Oryctolagus cuniculus: one gene and its partners. The protein of the gene in region 6 interacts with the protein of the main gene of each other region in a biochemical or structural test. Links are inferred from orthologs where the notes say so. Each region holds a gene or a part of one and is shown on either strand. Other genes may lie near its edges. The genes, in order: VDR, ESR1, ESR2, RARA, THRA and MED1.

Evidence for each region.
Region 1: the proteins of MED1 (region 6) and VDR form a complex in vitro, tested with the Homo sapiens proteins (5 studies listed by BioGRID). The link is inferred for Oryctolagus cuniculus from reciprocal best matches to the Homo sapiens genes MED1 and VDR.
Region 2: the proteins of MED1 (region 6) and ESR1 form a complex in vitro, tested with the Homo sapiens proteins (6 studies listed by BioGRID). The link is inferred for Oryctolagus cuniculus from reciprocal best matches to the Homo sapiens genes MED1 and ESR1.
Region 3: the proteins of MED1 (region 6) and ESR2 form a complex in vitro, tested with the Homo sapiens proteins (2 studies listed by BioGRID). The link is inferred for Oryctolagus cuniculus from reciprocal best matches to the Homo sapiens genes MED1 and ESR2.
Region 4: the proteins of MED1 (region 6) and RARA are reported together in a solved structure, tested with the Homo sapiens proteins (2 studies listed by BioGRID, with this or other methods). The link is inferred for Oryctolagus cuniculus from reciprocal best matches to the Homo sapiens genes MED1 and RARA.
Region 5: the proteins of MED1 (region 6) and THRA form a complex in vitro, tested with the Homo sapiens proteins (6 studies listed by BioGRID, with this or other methods). The link is inferred for Oryctolagus cuniculus from reciprocal best matches to the Homo sapiens genes MED1 and THRA.

What each region holds. Positions count from the first base shown.
Region 1 is NC_091440.1:137,504,845-137,508,344, forward strand, and holds part of VDR (vitamin D3 receptor), read right to left. Parts: intron 3,162-3,500; 5' UTR 3,160-3,161; coding exon 3,014-3,159; intron 1-3,013.
Region 2 is NC_091436.1:16,248,111-16,252,186, reverse strand, and holds the start of ESR1 (estrogen receptor), read left to right. Parts: upstream 1-1,276; 5' UTR 1,277-1,411; exon of another isoform or gene 1,412-1,415; intron 1,416-1,677; exon of another isoform or gene 1,678-1,853; intron 1,854-4,076.
Region 3 is NC_091451.1:6,167,827-6,171,984, forward strand, and holds the start of ESR2 (estrogen receptor beta), read left to right. Parts: upstream 1-1,358; 5' UTR 1,359-1,390; coding exon 1,391-1,809; intron 1,810-4,158.
Region 4 is NC_091448.1:22,126,471-22,130,468, forward strand, and holds the start of RARA (retinoic acid receptor alpha), read right to left. Parts: upstream 2,801-3,998; 5' UTR 2,786-2,800; coding exon 2,569-2,785; intron 1,285-2,568; coding exon 1,136-1,284; intron 1-1,135. UniProt on the Homo sapiens protein: Receptor for retinoic acid. Retinoic acid receptors bind as heterodimers to their target response elements in response to their ligands, all-trans or 9-cis retinoic acid, and regulate gene expression in various biological processes.
Region 5 is NC_091448.1:22,366,864-22,370,988, forward strand, and holds the start of THRA (thyroid hormone receptor alpha), read right to left. Parts: upstream 2,801-4,125; 5' UTR 2,660-2,800; intron 1-2,659.
Region 6 is NC_091448.1:22,931,233-22,934,732, reverse strand, and holds part of MED1 (mediator of RNA polymerase II transcription subunit 1), read right to left. Parts: intron 2,748-3,500; coding exon 2,629-2,747; intron 1,573-2,628; coding exon 1,371-1,572; intron 1-1,370. UniProt on the Homo sapiens protein: Component of the Mediator complex, a coactivator involved in the regulated transcription of nearly all RNA polymerase II-dependent genes.

The DNA of each region.
Region 1 (3,500 bases), on a different chromosome or scaffold from region 6:
CGGGAGACGCGCCTCACCCCTCCCGCTGCTGCTGGCCTGGCACAGGCTTCCTCCTGGCCACTCCTCAGCCGTGCCCTGAGCCGCACACGCCCTCGCGGCCTCTCAGCTCCTGGCACTTTGATCCTCTGGGCACCTCTGCCCGACTTCTCTGCCTCCCTTCCTGTCCAGAGTCTGCGAGAGGTCCACACACAGCCTGCTGATGCCCCTCACGATCCTCAACCTCCCCACGCCACCCTGTGCTCCCTGCACCCCTAAGACCCATCCTTACAGGGTCTGGGGACTCACAGCTGACACACGAGGTGCAGGCAGGAGGAAGGCAGCACGGAGCAGCAGACAGAAGATGCACCACCGGAGGGCCTGTGGGAGGAGCTGACCAGCAGCGGCCTCTCGTCCCCGGCCAGAGCAACGGGACAGTGGTCTCTTTCCCCTTCCTTCCTCCCTGGGGCCCGACTGAGTCTTGGGCTTGCCGGCTGACCACAGTGGCTCCCGGGCCACTCGAATGGTTGAACTAACGGTCAAGCATAATGGCCAGGCCCCAGGGCCCAACAGGAAGCAGTGTTTCCGAGAACCACCGCCGAGGGCCTCGCCCCTGCACGGCATGCACTTGCCACCTCACGCCAGAGCACCAAGGCCACCGTCCCGGGACCCGAGTTCCACTGACAGAAGGAACAGCAGGGTCCTCCAGCCATGGGGCAGGGGCAGGGAGGACCCGCGGGACCCGCGGGGGTTCTAGGTGCATGGTGGCCGCGGAAGCTGGGCTGGCGGGCACTGAGCGCCACTCCAGGGACACGGCTCATCACCAGCGGCCCATGCGTTTCCTGCTCAGCTGTGCCGACCGCTCCCGTCTTGGTGTCGGGGGACTGCGGTGAATCCTGACACTGCCAGCAACAGTCATGAGAGCGTGAAAGCAGGGCCGTCGCTGCCCCGCTCGTCTGCCCGGAAATGGCCTCAGGCGTGCTGCAGGGGGCAGAGTCCACAAACAATGAGGATCAGCTCTGTGTGTGCTGTGTGTGCTGTGTCTGTGTGTGCTGTGTGTGTGTGCTGTGTGTTGTGTGTGCCGTGTGTGCTGTGTGTCTGTGTATCCCATGTGTGCTGTGTGTGTGCTATGTGTGCTGTGTGTACTGTGTATGCTGTGTGTACGCTGTGTGTCTGTGTATGCAAACCTGTGTGCTGTGTGTGTGCTGTGTGTCCTGTGTGTGCTGTATGTGTGTGCTGTGTGTGTTGTGTGTGCTGTGTGTGCCGTGTGTGCTGTGTGTCCCATGTGTGCTGTGTGTACTGTGTATGCTGTGTGTCCTGTGTGTCTGTTTATGCAAACCTGTGCGCTGTATGTGTGTGCTGTGTCTGTGTGCTGTGTGTGTGTTGTGTGTGCTATGTGTGCTGTGTGTGCTGTGTGTCCCATGTGTGCTGTGTGTGTGCTGTGTGTGCTGTGTGTACGCTGTATGTCCTGTGTGTCTGTGTATGCAAACCTGTGTGCTGTGTGTGTGTGTGTCCCATGTGTGCTGTGTGTACTGTGTATGCTGTGTGTCCTGTGTGTCTGTGTATGCAAACCTGTGAGCTGTATGTGTGTGCTGTGTGTCCTGTGTGTGCTGTATGTGTGTGCTGTGTGTGTTGTGTGTGCTATGTGTGCCGTGTGTGCTGTGTGTCCCATGTGTGCTGTGTGTGTGCTGTGTGTGCTGTGTGTACTCTGTATGTCCTGTGTGTCTGTGTATGCAAACCTGTGTGCTGTGTGTGCAAACCTGTGTGCTGTGTGTGTGTGCTGTGTCTGTGTGTGTGCTGTGTCTCTGTGTGTGTGCTGTGCATCTGTATGTCTGTGCACGTCTGTGTGTGTGTGCTGTGCCTGTGTGTCTGCCTCTGTGTGTGTCTGTTCATGTTTATCTCTGAGTGTGTCTGTATGTGTCTGTGCACGTGTCTCTGTGTGTCTATCTCTGCGTGTGATTGCTTATTTTTATAGATCAAACAAAATCTGAGCCAAACCACAGACTTGCTGGTTCCTGAGAAGGTGCAGTTGGCTCAGTCCCCAGGACAGGAACAGTGAAAACACTGGGCAGACGGAGGGCAGGGGACAGAGGCAGCTCCTGCCCCAGTGCCCAGCCTTGCAGACTGTGGCTGTGGGTGTGTAGGGAGGGGCCGCCCTGTACCCACACCGCAGGTTTCTGGCACGCGCACGGGCAATGCCATCTCCCACACCTGGCCTTGGGCACGACTCATCCTCCGTCTCCCAGTCTTCACATAGCTGTCTCCTGGGGACCCAGCCCCGCAGCGTGATGAGGGCGGCAACCACAGGGGCACTGGAGGGATCTGGGGAACTGGCGACTCCAATTCCCCAGATCGACAAGCAGCCAGCTACACATCTGGGGCAGGAGGCTGGGGGGGGGGGGGGGTGAGGCATGGACTCGGCGAACCAACCCAGCGGCCACAGAGAGCCCCACGCAGCCAGCTGCCAGACAGCAGCGCCCAGGTCACGGCTCCCCTTCAGGCCTGGGAAGCAGTGAGCGAGGGCGGCTGCTGGTTGCTGAGACCTGCGACTCCCACAGGGCACAGCTCCACCCAGGCACTGGCCCCGCACACTCAGAAGACGTTTACCGCCATCTGCGTTCCAAACACCGTGGCACCCACGTGCGACACCTCCTCAGCCCTCACGCCAGCTGTGTGGGTGGGACACTGACACAAGCACACGCGACTGAGAGGTCACAGCGGCACCCCCGCCTGTCTTAGGCTGGGGTCTCCCTTTGGCCCCCGCAGCACTCTCCCACACGGGCTGGGACCCAGGCTGTCGGGGAGAAGCTGGCAGAGCACAGGGTGGGAGGGTGGGGCCAGCCCTACCGGGATCCTGAGCTCGTGAGGCCTGGGGCTTCCGTGGGGCACTGGGAGGGCAGAGCTCAGGTGAGCGACGTCCCGCGGAGCCCAGGATGAGAGAAGCGAGCCCTGGTCAGGAGCCTGCGGCTCCCGTGACACGACACCCCAGGGCGCCCTCCCGGGAGAACCTGCCCCCCAGCCCTGGTGTTGGCCTCACCTGAAGAAGCCCTTGCAGCCCTCACAGGTCATGGCGTTGAAGTGGAAGCCGGTGGCCCGGTCACCGCACACCCCACAGATCCGTGGCACATTCCGGTCGAAGTCGCCAGGGTCAGGCAGGGAAGTGCTAGCTGCCACGGCCTCCATCCCTGCAGGAACCAGGCCAGGGCCGCATCAGGCAGTCAGGCGGGGCTGGCAGGAGGCCCTCCTGGTGCAGCCCTCACCTACCGCCCTCCCGCCCAGTCACTCGGACACTGCACCTCAGGCTCCTCTGGGCCGGGCATCCAGGTCCCAGAGTACGCCCACGCGTGTCGGTGCTGACGGCCCTCGGGACAGACCTGACCTGGCCGGCAGCTCTGCCCTGCCCTGTGTGAGGCAAGAGCCTCATCCCCCACTCAGAGCCCCCCCCCATCTCACACGGGGGCTTCTGTGCCTGGCCAGAGCACCCAGCCTTCGCCGAGTGGCCCGCACCTCTTCTCAGGAAGCAG
Region 2 (4,076 bases), on a different chromosome or scaffold from region 6:
TGCTGTTAGAAAGGCATAGTTCACTGATTCTGGCAAATAAAATAACTGAGGTATTTAATTAATTTAGAGAAATTTTACTGTAAAAACACTTAAATTGTTAAACATTTTGTTAAATAATTCTTTTCACCTGAAATCATAACAAAACATTAAAAAGCTAACATCCTGCAACAATGCATTAGTATACAGAATGATTTCTTAAGTGAATCTTGTTGAAATATTCTTTGTTAAAGTGAAATATTCTGCTCCATGTAGTGTGAGCAAGTTAATCTCAAATTTTTTGCATATTCTACTTATTTTATGGGCCAGCTCACAAATATAAAGACTGAAGACTGTTAATATTTATTTCAAGATGTCTGAAAGCATTAATCATGAGACTTTCGATTTTCTCTCTTTGCTGGGCCAATTGAGACTTGTCTCTTACTCAACACCTGTCAACCTGCACTGGGTCACTAAAATACGGCAACAGAGACCTTCCCTCTGCCCCTTTCCTCCACCGTTCTCACTTCCAGTACATTGTCTTTCTTAAGACTTGTAGAAAAACTAATATATTTTTTAAAATGTCTTTTAAAGAATGTATTACATAAGCCGCAGTGGACTTTATAAGCTATTAAAGTTTCAGTACTTAAAAAAATTCATTAGTATTTTTGAGCCCATTTTCTACTTTAGTATGCTTATCTCCATGCTCAAAACAAACACAAACAAAAAGGCCACCACTTTATATCACTGCAGGAAATGCCAGGCATTTTAGGGGAGGATCATACGGCAGAGTTTAAAAGCCACAGAGGAGCTAAACGTGTGCACATCGCCGAGACCCTAATTAATCAGTGACGAGAGGAGCGGAGCAGGCGGTGGAGCCCATGGGTGAATAAGAAAGTAACGAAAAGGCCTGCAGAAGATATGGCCTCGCCCTTGCTTTCAGTTGTAGCCAATTTTGGGTGAACAAAATTTATGTCCTGAATGAATGCTTTATTAGTTTTTTCCCTACTTGATCCGTCTGTCTAGACTTCAAGCTTTATTTATGAGTAAAGAAAGAGTTGGCTGAATTATGTAAAAAATTGGGGGTAGATTAACGCATAACTCATCCCTTGTTAAACATCTATCTTCACGGAAGTGCTAGGAAAGTTACAGTTAGGCCTGGCTTCGAGAAAGGAAGGCCACCCCCTCCTCTATTTTTTTTTTTTTTTAAAGGAGACTTTCCAATCCTAGTCAAATGGTGGTGCTAGTTCTTTATTTTTGAGTTACTGCATTTCCTAATTTCATGGTCATAACAGCTTCAGAGCAGCGTCTACCAAAACTGAAAATGCAGGCTCCATGCACAGAAGCTCTTTCACAGGCTTGAAAGGTTCAGGCTCCTTTCTCCTGCCCCTTTCTGTAGCATAAGAAGACAGTCTCTGAATGACATTCTTCTCAAGTAGGTACTCCTATTTCTTCTTTCTTTATATTTTTCCTTGTGCTGTAATGTGCTACTGTTTACAAGCAGGCTGGAACCCCAGAGCTTTCCTCTCATGTGAAAAGCTGTTCATTTTTCTCATACCACCCCAGAATATTTTGCAAAGTTGCTGGCAACCATTGCTGCAATGTTAAAAATATGAACTCTAAACTTGGTACAGTGGAAGTTCACTTTTGGAGTAATATTCAGCTGAGTCAGAGGGCAGCACCATTACCCTTTGCTCAGTACAGCACTGACTAGCTTCCTGCCTGCCCTAGATATCCTATATTTGTTGGATCCAGCTCTTGCTACGAGATACTGTATGGCTGAACTGTGTCGGAATTTTGAAACTTCATCTCTGGACTGATGGTGCACCAGCATGAACTCCCTACCTGTTTTCTTAATCTTTGGTGCCGTAACTTATGTGAGTCTGAACTAAGCAATCGGAATGACCCTTTACTTGTTTCCTGAAGGCAGTCAGGTTTTCTACAAAGCTCCACAATCTAGCAATAACGCGAATGAGACAGCCTGTCTTGAAATCACCCTAAAATTTTAGGAAAGGGTTGTTGTTGTTGTTGTTGTTGTTGTTGTTGAATATTGCTGTCTTGGTTTTCTTGGAGGTGAAAAGAAAACTACTGATGACTTTTGGAGTAGGATGGTGTGTAATGACCCCACCACATAGAGTGTGCTATTCAAGTAAGGATGTGGGAGTCCCGAAAGACAGGGCAGGCTACTTTCGTTTTGGTGAGAGGAATGCCATATGTTTCAGGAACCTTAGTTTAAGTTGCAAATTTCATGTTTGGTCAAGAAGGAAATCATATTTTCTTTTCACAGACATGCCCGTAGATACTAAGATGATTAAAAAATATTTTAAAAAATTCCTTAATTTGGGTTGGGCCCTCTCAGGACTTTAGATCACCACACTGATTCCTGTTCAAAGGTGCGGTTTTATGCACCTCTGAGAATAAGTTTGCCGAACAACTGTAAGCAGAAGGTTGCTGGGAGACTCCTCTGGTTTTGAATGTGATTTCTATATGTACAAATTCATGTCAAGTGATTTAGGAATTCCAGGTAGAAGCATTTAAACAGAATTAAAATGTACAGAGAGCCAGATGAGATAAAGTTGAGCGAGAATGTCTGAGATCTAGAGTTTGAGAGCCCATTTCAGTTTCACAAAATTCCTTCCTATTTCTCAAAAGCAAATGTTTGCTATGATTTTTGTTACTGTCCTGTGAAGACTGCCCACTGGGCCTGGATATGTATGGATATAGTACTGTAGAGGTTGGATACAATACTGGAGAGGTGGTTAGATTTCCGAGGAAATTAGGAATAAATATGTATGCATCAGAGATACCATGTGCAGGGAAAATTCTAGATATGAGCACACAAAGGTTATATTTGTTGGCAGGATATTTTTCTCAGTTGCAAGTACTTGTATTTTTTGTGACAGTCAAGGAAAGGGGTAAAGTTCATGTGTTTTACACTTTCAGCAAAGAGAAAGTTAAACAACTCTCTGATTTCAGTGAACTGTTTCTCATCCAGTTAAGGATTTAGAGCTAACCAGATCCTATTCCTTTCCCCAAACACTCTACACCCTGTGTGCTGTAAGTGTTACACCAGGTACCTGCTGACCATTTTTGCTTGGTTGTCCATGGGTCATCTCTGAGTATTTTTCTGTTTTCGTTTAGTGCTGTTGGTCACAGCAGCTGCTGTGTAAAGGGCCAGGTGGTTGGGCTTTAGTTTCTTTTGAATAGAGAATAGCTTGGTTCCATGGTTGCATATTAGATACAAGGCAAAATAGGCAGGACGGAGAGTGACCAGCTCTGGGGAGACCATCATGTTGTTTATAAGAACTTACAGCACACGCTTCATCCATGGCACCTGAGCTGTGGTTCTGTTCTACCACCTTTAGTAGGGCTGGGTCTCCATCACTATCCCCTAAGAAAGAATGTGAAGCCCGCCTCACCCCTGCACAGTGTCTAATAAAGTGCTCTTTTAAAAGACAAGTGCTTCACTGTTCGCTTTTGCTGCGATGATAGTGTTGGTCGTGCGTTTGCTTTCTGGGCACTGTCTCAGTAGATTTCTTCTGAATCCTTCTCGGTGGACCACAATATAGTGAAACCTTGCATGTCAGTGGATTTTCTGGATCTTACCAAGCAGTGAAAATTTTGTTTTTCTTTTTGAATGTTTGTGACTATTTTGGAGGACAAATGGGGTTGCCCTATTCATTCATTCCTCAAAATATTTTGCCGCATACTCTCACTACTTTCTAGGTGTGCAACTTATTTCACCTCTGACCTCAAATTTCTCATCTGCAAAGTACGGATACTAACAGTAGCTACTAGATATAATCATGTGGAATAAATGAGATTAAGCCACTCCTTAAAAGTCTTTTTATCTTCAAGTGTTTGAAATTCAATATGAGGAAGGCGTTTCACACCACTTCTGGTACTCAGAAAATGTTGACTGAGTACATGAATAAGAACTTAAGAACTCCAGGTCAGCACCACAAGTGCTAGGATTTTAAGTCCGTGTACCATAGTGGGTGGGAACTTGACCTGAAAAGTTAAGGGCAGTCACTCCAGCTAGCTATGCATGGCACCTGTTGAAATGCTGCTGCTTGTTAATGGGTATAGGTTGGAGGAGG
Region 3 (4,158 bases), on a different chromosome or scaffold from region 6:
GGATTTCTGCTGTGTTCCTTTGGCAGTCAGGGTCCAAAGGAGGTAGACACTACATAATACCTCCAACAGGGGAAGTTTAACATAAAGAATTACTAATTATAATAGGAGATTAAGTGTAAGATATGAAGAACTCTGATATTTGGGACTGAGGAAGAGTACCCAAGGAAGGACAAACTTGGAGGGGTTCAGACCTCAATAGGGAAAGTGAGGTTCAGCCACTAGCTAGCGGTGATGCTGGCTGGGATAAGCCGGGCTGCTCTGGAGTTGCCCCTTCCAAATGCAAGTGGGCAGCTGGCAGTCCGCAGCGAGTGGCATGGGTGTGCACTGGGAGCCCAGTGACACACAGACCCTAGAGGGTGGCAAGTCTCGCTTCACTCATTATTTTGTGGTGGGCTACCCTTTGGGCTACAGCTTGAACATGTGACTGGGGAAGGTTATCAGTACACCGAGTGGGAAGGTCACAGAGGAACCTTATTCTGGACCTGTGGCTGGGCTGGTCTCACATCCTTCCCAGGGTTTAGGAATTACAGCAAGTCTCGCAGTGTGCCTCTAGCGCCCTCTACTGAAAAGGCTCAGTATTGCACGCACTTTTCCTTCCTTGAAGGAATTCCATGGTTTACCATAGACCGTACATTGAAGGATGCATTTAAAATTGAAAGACAGTAGAATGATAAGTGACACAGTTGCATTGGTCGGTCTTTCCATGTGCTGTTATTCAGTATTTTTTATTATTGGAGATTCATAGTGTATTTGAATATCTGTTAATTCTTGCACTGTTACAAATTGATCTTCTCTTCCAATAAGAGTTTTCAAATAAATTTGTCTAATCCTAGAAAAAACACTTTGTGGCAACTGCTAGATGTGAGCCAGGCACGGAGCCAGGAACTCAGTTCAACTCTCCCATGAGGGTGGCACAGACCCAACTACTTGAGCTATCATCTGCCACCTCCCAGGGTGTATCAGCAGGAAGCTGGAAATGGGAGTGGAGCTGAGACTTGAACCCAGGCACTCTGATATGGGAGGGCGGTGTCCTAACTGATGGCTTAACCGCCAAGCCAAACATCCACTACTAATCTTCTGCTTTTTTAAATACTCCTGTAGGATAAGTTCCCATCATGAAAAATTTCCTGTGGTTAACAATAACAACAAAACCAACCAAGAAATACACTAGAAGATGAGTAGTGCACACCGCTTATTCCCACCCCTCTGAGTTAATATTTTCATACACATCTTTCAGGATGTATTTGTAATCCTATTTAGATGTGAATATTTTTAAAATAAAAAAGTTTTAACACTTTTCAGCTGTTGCAACTGCAGGTGTAACTTAGCAATGTCTTTTGCTTCTCTTTCCAGCTATTTTCCCCACCCATGAGCCTTTGAGGATGTTGTAATGTCCCTCCGTGCCTCGTGTTGCAAGGAGTTTATACAGCTGCTACCTAGTCAAGACATGGATATCAAAAACTCACCATCCAGCCTTCACTCTCCTGCCTCCTACAACTGCAGTCAGTCTGTCTTACCCCTGGAGCACGGCCCCCTCTACGTCCCTTCCTCCTACGTAGAGGACCACCACGAGTACCCCACCATGACCTTCTACAGCCCTGCCATGATGAATTACAGCGTCCCCAGCGGCGCCAGTGAGGCGGACCGTGGGCCGGGGCGACAGCCCACAAGTCCAGATGTGCTGTGGCCGACTCCTGGCCACCTGTCTCCTTTAGCCATCCGTTGTCAGTCGTCACTTCTGTACCCAGAACCTCAGAAGCCTTCGTGGTGTGAAGTGCGACCGCTGGAGCACCCCTCGCCTGTGAACAGGTGAGGCCGGCCTTCGTTCTGAGCCGTATTCCGTGGGGGCTCGGCTCCCCTCCCGGTTACCGAGAAGACGGACGTGCGTTCCCAGTGTCTTCATTTATGAGGACCCTTCAGAAAGTTCGTGGAGTGTGTGTGTGGCGCTGGAGTTCACATTTTAATTCCATTGTCCCCTGAACTTTTTGAGCAACTCTCGTAATAAGTCATTCATTACTTGGAGCACCTGAAACGTGATGCACTGTTTTAGTCTTCCTTTTATTTTTTTTTTAAGATTGACTTATTTATTTGAAAGGTAGAGTTACAGAGAGGCAGAGGCAGAGAGAGAGAGAGAGAGAGTCTCTTACCCAGTGGTTTACTCCCCAGTTGGCTGCAATGGCCAGAGCTGGGCCAATCTGAAGCCAGGACTTGAACCCGTATCCATATGGGATGCTGGCTCTACGAGCAGCAGCTTTACCCACTATGCCACAGCGCTGGCCCCATGTTCTCTTCTAATATTCCAGTCCTCATTGAAAAATTGTACTTGTAGGTGAGTGTTGCAGGCACAGCTCACTATTTTGAATGCTGCTGTATTTATATTATAAAAATTATCTTCCTTTTTTCCTAAGTTTGAATACCAAATTTTTTAGTTTTAGGTTAGACTCATAGTGAAATCACAATATAGTGTTCATGAAAAATTGTTCCCAGGATAAAAATAAGTGTGGCAGTACTACAACTTAAAGGAATACTAGCCGCCTGAAACCTGTAAAGACAGGCAATTGGTACAGCTTAAAATTTTTTGAGAGGCAGAGAAAGAGAAGGAGGGATAGGCAGCATCCCTGTATCTGCTCAAATGCTCACAGTGGCAGGAACCAGGCCAGACTGAAGCCGGGAACTGGCAGCTCCATCATGGTCCGCCCTGTAGGTGGCAGTGTCCCACCTGCTGGGGCATCACTGCTGCCTCCCAGAGTGCACATCGGCAGAGAGCTGGAGTGAAGGGCCCAGGCACATCCATGTGGGTGCAGGCATCCGAATTGCTAGGCCAGACGCCCAGCCCATTATAAAGTTGGTGGGAAACCATTTAATATAGACATCATTTGAAATTTCCTGAAGTGGAAAAGAATATTTGTACTCTTTAAATGCAAGGTAAGATGGATTATTTCAGTCTAATAATACTTTCTTTTTTTTTTTTTTTAAAGATTTATTTATTTGAGAGGTAGAATTACAGAGAGAGGGAGGGAGAGACAGAGAGAATGGTCTTCCATCTCTGGTTCACTCCCCAAATGGCCGCAACAGCCAGCTGGTACTGGGCAAGTCTGAAGCCAGGAGCTTCCTCTGGGTCTCCCACGCAGGTGCAGGGCCCAAGGACTTGGGCCATCTTCTGCTGCTTTCCCAGGCCACAGCAGAGAGCTGGACAGGAAGAGGAGCAGCTGGAACTAGAACTTGTGCCCATATGGGCAGGTGGAAACTTGGCCTACAGCCAGAGCGCTGGCCTCAGTCTAATGGGCATTTTCAATGATCGTTGTACCTCTGAAGGGAAGACATTAATGAGGGGAAGAGAAGAGGGAGATGAAATTCTAAAACAGTGAAAGTTAAATGAGAACATGTTGGATATGAAAGTTCATTACTTTCTTTTCTTATTTGAAGGGCGGAGTGTAAGGGAGGGAGGGAGGGAGGGAGGGAGGGAGGGATATATATATAGAGAGAGCTTCCATCTGGTGGTTCACTCCCCAAATGACCACAGTGGCCAGGGCTGAGCCAGGTGAAAGCCAGGAGCTTCATCCGGTCTCCCAGATGGGCGGCAGGGCCCAAACACTTGGGTCATCTTCCAGTGCTTTTCCCAGCCCAATAGCAGGGAGCTGGAGGTGGTGCAGCTGGGACACAGACGGCATTTGCATGAGGTGCTGGCCTTGTAGGTGGTTTTACACGCTGCACCACAAGGCCGGCCCCACGGGAAACTTTTTAAAAGCAGTACTTTAAAAAAATAAAAAATAAAAGCAGTGCTTTTCATTCAGCCTTTAAAGGCAGAAGTATGTTGTTTTGAGCATGAATTCTGATCAAAGTTCTGATATTTGGACAAGCTAAACCAAATGAAAATTACCTTCATTGATCAAACGGTCAACCCTTTATCATACTTTCCAAACGAAATATGCCCTAGCAAAACGAGGAAGTGGCCGGGCTTGGGTCTGGTGCTGCCTGTGCTTCCCTGCTGGGCCGGTTCCGCCGTGGGGCCAGGGCCCGGCCTCTGCTTCACCCACCTGAGCTTTCCCTGGCCAGGCAGCTGCCCGCTTCCTCCCCTCTCTTCTCCTTTCTGCCCTCTCCCCACCTCCCTCTCTTTAACCAGAGTATAGTATTCGTCTCCATGTGACTTGGAGTCCA
Region 4 (3,998 bases), about 800 kb from region 6:
GGGCCAGGCCAGCGGCTGCTCCCAAGCCTTCGCCCATCACCCCCCTGAGCAGGCCAGAAAAGATGGGGCGATGAGTCACCCCTGGGAGAAGCCCGCTACTGCCTCAGCGCTACGAGGTGGGCAGGAGTCTTCCCCCAGCCTCCATCCACACACCTGACCCCTTCCCTCTAGGGAGAAGGACCTCGGGCTGCTGCTGAGTCAGGAATTGTAACCCGTGGGGCTGGCTGGGACAGAGGCGGGAATCTGGAGCCCACAGCCTGGACTCAGACACGTGAGCTGGCCAGAGACGGAGGCACTCATGCACTCACACACGCTCAGGAGCCAGGTGGCAAGACCCAGTCACCACCCGGACAGACGTGCATGAAGCACTCAGAGATGGACCCGGGCTGGTCAGAGGCCCCACACCCAGGCTCCCCAGGGACACAGATGAGGAACAAGTCAGAAACGACCTGACAGAGCAGGCAGACACACACAGTCTAGGTCCTGAGCTGTGCCCTGAACCTGTGTCCCACACCGACAGGTAGCTGATGGGCAGCCCAGAGCCCCAAGACTGTACAGCTTCCAAACCCTAATATCTAGAGAGAGAAACTGGTGTGGAGGCTCTGGTCCTAGGAAGAGGACCAGCCAGGCCCAGAGCTGCTGGGGCCTAACATGAGGACGGGAAAAATGCAGACGCTGGGGAGCCCACAGCCTCAGCACCTGTAGGGGAAGCCGAGGCAGGGTTCCGCTCCTAACTGCCGCCTGCCAGGCTGTCATGGCGAGGTGCAGGCAGGGCCGCCGGGGGCAGGCCTCCTGGGTCCCCAGCCAAGAGCCGGTCGGCAGCCAGCTCACCATGGCAACCTGGGCAGCGGTGGCAGAGCGGAGCACGCCCTGCCGGCTGGAGCATGGAGACGGGGGCGGGGGGAGCTCGGGCAGGAGGGGGCCTCTGGTTTGGGGGGAGCCCTGCTCATCTATGGGGGAGCTTCTGTTGCTGGCACCCCCTCCTCCTTCAAGGCTGCTGGCAACTTCCACACACAAGCAAGAGCAGCAGCATCAGGGACAGCCCCTGCCCTCAACCGAATTCTCCCAGGGCGTGACAGCGGGGACATCCCATTTATCTAAGCAAGACTGCCCTTCCCAGAGTCCCCAGTCTCACCTTGCAGCCCTCACAGGCGCTGACCCCATAGTGGTAGCCAGAGGATTTGTCTTGGCAGACAAAGCAGGGCTTGTAGATGCGGGGGAGGGGGGGTGGCGAGGGAGGGCTGGGCACTATCTCTTCCGAACTGCTGCTCTGGGTCTCAATGGCTGGAGAGAGAGAAAGGGAGGGGGCGGTTAGAGACCAGGCGCCATCCCTGATGCCCTGCCCCGCCCTGCTCAGGGTCTCCCTCCAGAGCCTCTCCCAGCCTCACTACTGCTGGCAGGGACGGTCTCGGGAAAGCTGGGACTCCCCAGTCAAGCTTGGGGGAAGCCTTGGGACCCCATCACGCCCGTCTACTTCCCCAGGACCCCGTCCTCAACACAGAAAGCTGAGATCATAAACCATCAGATGTGGGTGTGTGTTGTGTACTGGGCTCTGCCTGGGAGGAGGTGGTCCGGCCCTATTCTTAGGCCTTGCCTCGGGTGGCCTGGCCGGTACTCCCCCAAGTTAGGAAGGAGTTAAGGCTGGATGAGGAGGGAGGAGAGAAGACACAAGCTGGGGGCAGAGGAAATGGGGGTCAACAGGATATTCAAAGCCAGCCACTCCCTCACCCCCTCTGCTTCCGCTTGCCCCTCCCTCCACCCCCCTCTGCCAACAGCCAGGGCCCCTCCTCCACCCAAACAATCCCCAGGCCGAGGACCCAGGCAGACCCAGGCGGGTGTACAAAGAAGAATCCCGAAGGCTGGGGCACAGCAGGTGGGGGTCCCCTGAGATAGGTGGAGAGACCACCTGGGGACAGAGCCCTAGAAGCCCATCACCCTGGGTGCCCCCTGCCTCAGGGGAGGCAGCATGACAAAGGGGGGTCTGTTCCCATCAATGCTCTGTCTGTCTGGCTTCAACAGTATGTCCGGGTTACCACCCCTCCCCTCCTGTTAATTCAGCCCCCAGAGGGCAGCCAGGAGGGGTGACCTAGCCAGCAGGAGCTGTCCCCCACTGACCAAAGCCTCCCCAGTGCCTGGCTCTCTGCCATCGCCCCAGGCAGAACAGGGATGGGCTGGCAGGGGTGGGGGGTGCAGTGTGCTGGATGAGAACCGTACAGCTTCTCCTGCAGCCCTGGCCACCTCCACCTGTGCAAGGCCTAGGAAGGGTGAGGATGCGATCCTGACAGCCCAGCTCCACGCCCCAGCCCACAGCTCCTGGCTCAAACACCTCACGGCCGCGCGTCACCCCTTAGCCGCAGACACGCCCGAGACCCAGGCTAACAGCCTTGGCACCAGAGCCCACATCAGCCTGACAGCCCTGCCCTGCCCAGAGACCAGCCTGCAGCAAAGGGACAGTAGATGCTGTCCCCCACTGGTCCACAGATTCACTCCTCACTGACCTCTCCCAGAACCTCAGCTCCTCATCCCCACACCCAACCGCCCTGGTTTTCCCCCCCATCTCATTCTCACCAGGCCAGACAAGCAAATCAGACAGGCAGGGAGGCCTGAGGACAGCTGCTGGGGGGGGGGGGGTTGGGGTTGGGGGGCCTGGGTGAGGCCAGGAGGCAGAGGGGTGAGCCACAAAGAAGCCCTTTGTTGTGCTAACTTTTTCCAAGACGTAAAAACAGTAACAATAGACAATCCAGACTGGGGGGGGGGGTGTCAAGGACATGGGGGGGGCAGCCATGGCCTAGAATCCCCGCTCAGCATTCCAACAAGCAGAGGAAGAAGGCACTGGCCTCCCTTGTTAATCCACCCTTTGCCCTGGGCCCCGCCTCCTCCCAAGGCCCCACCCCAAAAATGAGCCAGACCAGCAGCAGCGGCAGGACCCAGGGGGCAGGGGGCAGGGAGCAGAGTGGAGGCCGGGAGGCGGGGCCCGGGGAGAGGCAGGGCTCTAAGGCCCGGGAAAGGCACACAGAAATTGGGAGCTAAGGCAAAGTCCAGAGGGTGTGTGCAGAACTGGAGGAAAGTGCTTTTTAAAATGATCTTTGGCAAGACGGGGGAGACAACCCACGCAGGGGCTACAGTTCGGACTCGGTGACACCTCCCACCTCCCTTCCGGCCACTGACCGCAGGCCCTTGAGGCTGCAACACCCCAGCCTGAGAATATCCCCACCTTTCTCCCAGGTAACCCAGCTCTGAGGTTTCTGGCTCTGCCCTTTGAATCCAGAGCTTGGGGCCAAGGCCTCCAGCCCGCAGCCTAGGAAGACCAGGTAAAACGACCCAAGGCAAAAGTGTGAGGGACCCCAGGCGCCCCTCAGTTTCTGCGCGAGTTAGGATACAGCAGGAACTCCTGCACTCGGGAGAGGCAGGGAGAGGCCGCCCGACCCGGCCTCTCCCCTAACCTCCCTACCCAGAGGCCCTGGCCCACAAATCCCTCTCCAGCTGCAGAAGGGCTCAGGCGGGAGAAGAACCACACCTTCTCAGCTCAAAGTTCCAGCGCCCAGCGGAGGGCTGGAAGCGGACCAGGAAGCCAGGCGTCCCCTCCCGCCGCCGCCAGGGCGCCCCTCCCCCGCACCTCCCTCCTGGCCGCCGGGCGAGCTGAGCGCTCCGGATTCCCCACGCCCCAGAGCCGTTCGTTCGCAGGCTCGCACAAGGGGCCGGTTTCCTGGAGGAGATCAGCAGGAAATCAGCCGGGCCCCCGGCCAGCGACTCCCCTTCCCAATCCAGCTGGCGCCCTCTCCTCTGCAGCTCCCTAAACAGCCCCCGGGGAGGGCTGGGGAGTGGGCTCTGGGCCCTCGGTGCTGCCCTTCCTCCTCCTGGGAAGCGGGTGGGGGTGGCTCCGGGTGTAGCCCGGCGGCGGAAGAAGGCCCCTAGCCCAGCGGCCGGCTGATAAGCATCTCCCCCTCCCCCCACTACGGGCATCCACGTGCTTCACATTCTTGGACGTCTGGGAGCGG
Region 5 (4,125 bases), about 560 kb from region 6:
TGGGCTGTGCAGCGGCAGCACTAAGGAAACACAGGATGTCCTGAGCAGCCAGCTGAGCCCCCCGCCCCCCACCCCAACCTCCCGCTGACCCCAGAGGCGGGGCGGGCCGGGGCAGAGGGCCGGAGTTTGAGTATTAACAACTGGAAAAGTATGAAGACCATCCCTGCCAGTTCCCAGCTCCCAGGGAAGGGGCAGTGGCAGACAGAGACAAGGACAGGGGTGGACAGGGGAGCGCTGGGGCAAGAGGGAGTAACAGACTGGCAGGGGAACAAGGAGAGAGGGAGAATTAGACACCACGGGACACAGCAACAGAAAGAGAGACAGAGTTAGAGAGAAATTCCAAGTCAAAAATACACATCACTCACGCAGACACTCGCCAGCACTCGGCCTCCTAAGGAAAGCGTCCAAGTCTGGACAGAAAGGCCAAGGTGGGAAAAGGGGCCAGACGCACGGTGGGAGGCAGGGACTCAGTTGTCCCCAGGAAAATCATCCTCAGCAGGGCAGTGGGAGTCCCCTGTTAGCTTTCAGGGGACGGGTGAGAGCCGCTCCCTGGAAGCCAGCTCTCCCCCATACAACGCCCCCACCCCCACCCCTGCAGCCAGGACAATCCCAGCTGCTAGAAGTCACTGGACACTGCTTCAGGCCCATGACTCGGCCCTCTGAAACCCCCCTACACCCCCTGTCTTTGCTCTTGTTTCTCTTGTCCCTCCAAAAGAAAAAAAAGCGCCCACTCTCACAAAGGGCTGATGCCAGAAGGAGACAGGAGGAAGCTTGGAGGGAGGCTGTCACCGAGGCATGGAGGTGTGCCCGACTGCGCTGGCAGCAAGTGTGCACCTGGGGCTGTCTGACACACTGTCCACGTGGACCTGTGACAGCATGGCCCGAGCCTTGTGAATGTGCGGTGCACCTGAGTCCATGGGCTTGCGTGCCAACGAGTGCACCTGTGTCCGCACTGCCCACAGTCAATCAATGAACAAGTATTTACAGAGCAGCCCCTATGCTAGTCTCTGGGTGGGATCCAGAGCTGTCTAAGCGATTCTCCCAGGTCTTAAGGAGTCGGCTTCCCAGTAGGGTGATTTGACAAGCCAGAATGACCAAGAGCGAGTGCGCTATCAGGAATGCATGCTTTGTATCGTGATGCATGAAAAATCTCTTCACACACACACATTCCATTTACTCAGGAGCAGCGGTTTTGCTGTCGACAGAACCTCCGAGTTCCACTGTAAGAATCCAAGAAAATACTTGTTGCTAAGTTGTGTACACATGTGTTGATGTGTAACTGTGCTTGCATTTGACAGAGTGACAGTGACTGTCACGCCAGGGGATGATGCCTGCGTGACTGTGCTCATGCAAGCACGTGTGTGCCTGTGAGTGACAGGGTCTTTTGTAACGGTGTGGCTGTGTGCAATTGCTCCGTGTGCATGCATGCATGCCATAGTGACTTTTTCTGTGTGGGTGACAGCAACTCCCCCTCGCCCATGTGGGTGACAGCATCTCTGTGTTACCCTGCGTGTGGGCATGTGCATGGGTCCGTCTGCCTGCTGCTGGTCTCCCGTGGGTGTGTTCTGCCCCTCTGGGCTCCCACAGTGCAGCGGCAGCCTGCCTCTTTCCTTGTCCCATGTGGGTGTGTCCAGCAGCTCCTGTCCTTGAGTCCGCCTGGGTGTCCCTGGGTGTGCATGTGGCTGTTCTGTGTGGGCATATCTCTGTGTCTGTATGTCACCTTTGCTTCTCCCCTCATCTTGGACAACAGCCCCCTTCATCCCCTCCCCCTTCTGGGGCCGGAGCCAGCATGGAGGGGCAGGCTCCCATCTCACTGGCTTTCCTTCTGTTTCTATCCCCCCAACCCCCCACCCAGCCGGCAGCTCTCTCCCCGTTGCCTCCGCCATCCCCCCACCCCCAGGCCTTTCTTTCACACTGGACAAGGGAGGGCCCTAGACCGAGAAGGGGCACCAGAGACACGTTGCAAGGGGAGGGAGACAAGGGGGGGTGCACAACAGAGATCCGTTTCTCCCTCTCTTTCTCAGCCCCGCCAGCCAGCACGGGCCCCCACTGCGCCCCCAAACCCCCACTCCCCACCCCCACCCCCCCAGCCGCGTTTTTGCAATTAGGAGTGTTGCAACCAGAGAGCCATGCTTAATTGGGGAGAGGGTGAGGGGAGGAGGGACTTCTGTCTCTCTCTCCCCTTGCCGGTGCAAGCCCACCCCTCCCCACTGCACTCCCACTGCCCTCCGCAGCCGCTCGGCCTCCGAGGCTGGGGTGGGGGCTGGGGGGGGCAGGCCTCCGGAGCACCGTAAACAAACCGCGGCGCGGCGGGCGGGGGAGCTCGGGCGGCCGGCAGCGGGGCCCGGCCTGGGAACGCGCAGCAGACCGGCCGGACTGAGGCCGGGCGGGCCCTCGAGGGGGAGGCCCAGACGCCATCTCCGCCAGCGAACCCCAGGGCCCACCGACCTCCCAGCAACACCTCCCTTCCCTGGGGCGTCAGTTGCAAGCTCCCGGTCTGTGACAGGGTCACCTGGGCGCCGCGGAAGGCTGAGGCTGGCAGCGGGCACCCCCTGGGCGCCCCCAGCCCGCCCAGGAGCCGGCCGTAGGGACCCGCGGCTTTGCATAATCAATCGCGAGGCATTTGCATATTAATGCCCCCTCGCTCCCTCCTCCTTACCTCGGCGTGGCGCGCTGGACCGGGCTGGGCAGCGGCGCGGGGGTCTCAGCGCCCCGTGCCGGGGGCGTCCATGGGGGGCCGGTGGGGCCCGGGCCGCCCGCCTCCAGCGCCCGGGTGTGAGTGCGAGTGAGCGCGGGGGGGCGGGGGGCGAGTGTGGCGGCCCCGCGGCTCCTCCGGCAGAGGCGGCGGCCGCTCTGGCTCCTCCCTCCCCCGCCCCGCTCCGGCTGGGGCTCGGGCTCGGCGCGCCCGGCCGGCTCACGGCTGCTCCCTGCAGGCCGCCTCGCCGCCGCCGGCGCCCGCCCCCCGCCCCACGCCGCGCCCCGGGACCACGGCCAGCGGCCCGGCAGCCCCTCGGCCGCCTCTGCCCCCGCCCCGCTCGGACTCCGGCAAGCGGCTCCGGCGGGAGCTGTACTTGGTGACATATTTGGAAAAGCTGTCACTTAAAAAAAAAAATAGCCTTTGCCTGCCGGGAGGATTGGGGGGTTTTCGAGGTTTGCACCGTGGGCAGGAGGAGGGAGCGTGGACGAGCCACCTGCACCGCGTTAACGGGGCGGAGAGTCTGCCTGCCAAGTGCTCGGTCGAGTGGAGTTTGTTTGGGAGTTCGGGTCCCTTCTCCGCCGGTAACTCCCTGCGTGACCTTGAGGAAATCCCCGCAGCCTGCCCGGCCAGAGCTTCCTCAAGCTCCAATTGCAAGGGCTGGGCAGGTGCTCCCGCAGGTCCTTTTACTTTCAGTCACGCCGTTTTTAATCCTCTGGGGGAGCACATTCCCCCTTACCCCTCTCATTCCTAACAGCCAAACCCGATCCACTGCCTCCTCTTCCAAACGCCACCCTTCTCCACGTCGGCTCTTTTATTCACTGACACCAGCCATTTCCCCAACAGTCTGCTCTCCCTGCTGAGCCCGGGGAGGGGGCGAGATTGGCTGTACCCTCTCCACTGCCAGCCCCACAAGAGCTGTGTTTCCTCCCATGCTTGCCTCACCTAAATCCAAGGGTACCAAGGCCACTCTGAGGAGGAGGGTGGGCTACACCCAAATGGACCCCCTTCCCCAAAAGAGGGATGGTCTCCTACCAGCCCCATCCCCCTGCATGCATGCGTACGTGTGCGCATGCACACACACACACACACACACCTGCACGCATGGACATAAAACCATGCAAGTGACGCCAGAGCCCCTTTCATCTCAGGATCTCCTAGTGCCAGGCAGAGGTCTAATTACCCCAGCACCCCCTCTTGCCCCACCGGTTCCCCCCCACACCGCTGTCATTAGCCCAGTTTTACCAGCGGGGGCCACAGCCTTCCCACGGCTCCCAGGGCGGGGCCCTGTCTCTGCACTGCTCTTGGGGAGCTGTGTGTGTGTGTGTGTGTGTGTGTGTGTATTAGGGAAGCTGCTCTGCTAATGGTTTATAACTGGGCAGAGTCATTTGTTCAGTGTGAGTTCTGACCAACCGTTGATCCACATTGGG
Region 6 (3,500 bases):
AAAAGAAAATGTGTTCATAAACCAGGAAACTGATTATCATGATTGACCTTAAAATACAGAGGGCCAGTGCCGTGGCTCAGTGGGTTAAAGCCCATCCCAAATGGACACCGGTTCAAGTTCCAGCTGCTCCATTTCCAAGCCACCTCTCTGCTATGGCCGGGAAAGCAGCAGAGGATGGCCCAAGTGCTTGTGATCCTGCACTCACGTGCAGAACACAGAAGCTCCTGGCTCCTGGCTTTGGATCATCCCAGCTCTGGCCATTGCAGCCATTTGGAGAGTGAACCGGTGGATGGAAGACTTTTCTCTCTGTCTCTACCTTTCTCTGTAACTCTGCCTTTCAAATAAATAAAATAAATCTTAAAAAGAGAGAGACAAACCGTGTTGGGACTGAGTTCAGATTTACAAAAACAAACAAAAAAACACATAGAATATGCCAGAATAAGGAGGAAAAAAAAAGAGGCTCCCAAATGCCAATCTACACAATGATTTCATCAGAATAATTTGTGGTTACATTGCCTTCGCTAATCTTTCCACTAGAGTCTTAATTCAGTTCGTCTTGGGGTGAAACTCATGCACCTGGAGTTTTAAAAACTCCATAGGTGATTTTCATGGGCCACCAAATTCAAAACCCACTCGAGGGGCTGGTACTATGGCACAGTATATTCAGCAGCAGCTTGAGATACCAACATCTCATTTCAGAGTCTGGGTTCAATTCCTGGCTACTCCACTTTTGATCCATCTGCCTGCTAATTCAACTAAAAAAGCAGTGGAAAATGGTCCAAGTGCTTTGCCTTCTACTATCCAAGTGGAAGACCTGGATGAAGTTCTATACTCTTGGTTTGGGTGTGGCCTAGCCGTGGCTGTTAGGGCAATTTGGTGAGCAAACCAGCAAACAGAAGATACCTTTCTGTCTCTGTTACTCTGCCTCTCAAATAATAAAAATCTCAAAAAAAGGGCCGGCGCCATGGCTCACTAGGCTAATCCTCCACCTTGCAGTGCCGGCACACCGGGTTCTAGTCCCGGTCGGGGTGCCGGATTCTGTCCCGGTTGCCCCTCTTCCAGGCCAGCTCTCTGCTGTGGCCAGGGAGTGCAGTGGAGGATGGCCCAAGTCCTTGGGCCCTGCACCCCATGGGAGACCAGGATAAGTACCTGGCTCCTGCCATCGGATCAGCGCGGTGTGCCGGCCGCGGCGGCCATTGCAGGGTGAACCAACGGCAAAAGGAAGACCTTTCTCTCTGTCTCTCTCTCTCACTGTCCACTCTGCCTGTCAAAAAAAAAAAAAAAAAAAAACTCAAAAAAAAAATTTTGAAAAACCACTGGAGTAGTCAGTTTCCATCTTTCACTAAATATATCAAAAGGAAAGGCAGTACCTTCTTTCAGAATAGTTCTTTTGACACAGCTTCCAATTAGGGTATTATAGGCAACTTGGTGTCTGATGATATTGAGGATAAGAGGAACTCGACCAGGATGCTGAAAGGTGATTTTGCTAACAAGAGTTCCCTGCAGACTTCGACCATCGGGAAGAGGGGCATCCTTGTTGAGGAAATAGCAGTGCTGCTGACCTGGAAGAGCCTGAGCAAAAAGAACATCAGTGAGTACTATTTACTTTCCCTTTGTGCTCCAACCACAAGCTGTCCCGGAAGAAACCTGCTCCTCAAAAAAAGTACAGCAAAATCTGGGGGAGCAATAAAACCCCACAGTAAATTCTTCAAGTAGTTAGTATTATAAATGCTAACCAATTACTCGTTATTCTGGAAAGATCCCTATTTAGTAAAAGCTCTATGCTACTAGGTTCATTAGCTAACGTGGCAGCAAGCATTTGGTATAGCAGTAAAGATGGTGCATGGGTGCCTGCATCCCGTATCAAAGTGTCGTGTTTGAGTCCCAGCTCCACTGCAGACTCCAGCTCTGCTAATGGCACCTTAGGCAGCAGCAGTAATGGGTCAAGTGGTTGAGTCCTTGCCACCAATGCAGGACACCCAGACTGAATTCTGGGTTCCTGGCTTCTTTCCAACTATGGCAGAGAGCTGGGGAATGAACTAGCAGATGGGAAATATGTGTCTGTCTCTCTGCCTTCTCTATGAATGAAAATATAAAAAAATTACATCAGAAATCTTTACTAAAAACATTTCTAAATGGTTAGTACAAAATCTGTATTTTTTAATAAAACACTCCATATAATGCAGAATTGCGAAACTATTATTTTTAAAAATTCTAATTCAAGCCCAAACATGATTTTAGAAACTTTCATAATTTATACATTTTCTTCTCTTTATGTAGTTGAAGGAGGTTTCCACAGAATACATTCATGGCACTTCAAAGAATTCAATAGTATGAACACTTAATACATACTTCTAAGCTTACTCAATTTCAGAATGCCATTAAGAGAATTTCATATGAAATTTCAACAAATAATTGAACATTGTTGCTTCCTGACTTGAAAACTCATGCCTTTTTTCCTCAATAGGTTTCAGAGATTTCTGTAATTTCTTGCGTAAGTGAGGAAACACAATATGATCCAACAGTCCAAAAGGAAGTTATCTGACCTCGATAATGTTATGAAGAAAATTTCTCATCTTGGGTCTAAATAAAACCTATTACATTCTAGCTTTAGTGGGCATTACTTACAGCATAAAATCGCATGTTGTGACTCAAAGGTACTGGATCAGGGTCCTTTGACAGCTCAAATTGAGTGATCAGCTCATACAGGGGTGCATAGGTTGGCTGAGTTTCAAACAATGGAATTCCTGGAAAAACAAGAACCAATATAATAATCTCATTAAGATACAAATGTTGACCGCTCAGTATTCTCTTCATGATTTTTACATTCTTTGGCCCATTTATTCAAGAAGTACTTAATAAGTGTTACCAGTAATTTTTGAGGCCTATAAAACTTTTTTTTTTAAAGATTTATTTTATTTATTTGAAAGAGTTACAGGGAGAGGTAGAGACAGAGAGGTCTTCCATTCACTGGTTCACTCCCTAGATGGCCACAATGGCCAGAGCTGTGCCAATCCGGAGCTAGGCGCCAGGAGCTTCTTCTGGGTCTCCCACGTGGGTGCAGGGGCCCAAGGACTTGGGTCATCTTCTACTGCTATCCCAGGCCATAGCAGAGAGCTGGATCAGAAGAGCAGCAGCCAGGACTAGAACTGGCACCCATATGGGATGCCGGCACTTTAGGCCAGGGCTTTAACCCACTGCCACAGCACTGGCCCTAAGGCCTATAAAACTTAAAGAGGGGTTGGTGCTGTGGCATAGTAAGCCAAGATCTACCTGCGGCACCAGCATCCCATATGGGGTGCCGGTTGGAGTCCTAGCTGCTCCTCTTCTAATCCAGCTCTCTGCTTGTGGCCTGGGAGAGCAGTGGAGGTTGGCCCAAGTTCTTGGGTCCCTTCACCTGTGTGGGAGACCCGGAAGAAGCTCCTGGCTCCGGATCACCTCAGCTCTGGCCGAGGCGACCACTTGAGAACTGAACCAGCAGATGGAAGACCTTTCTTTGT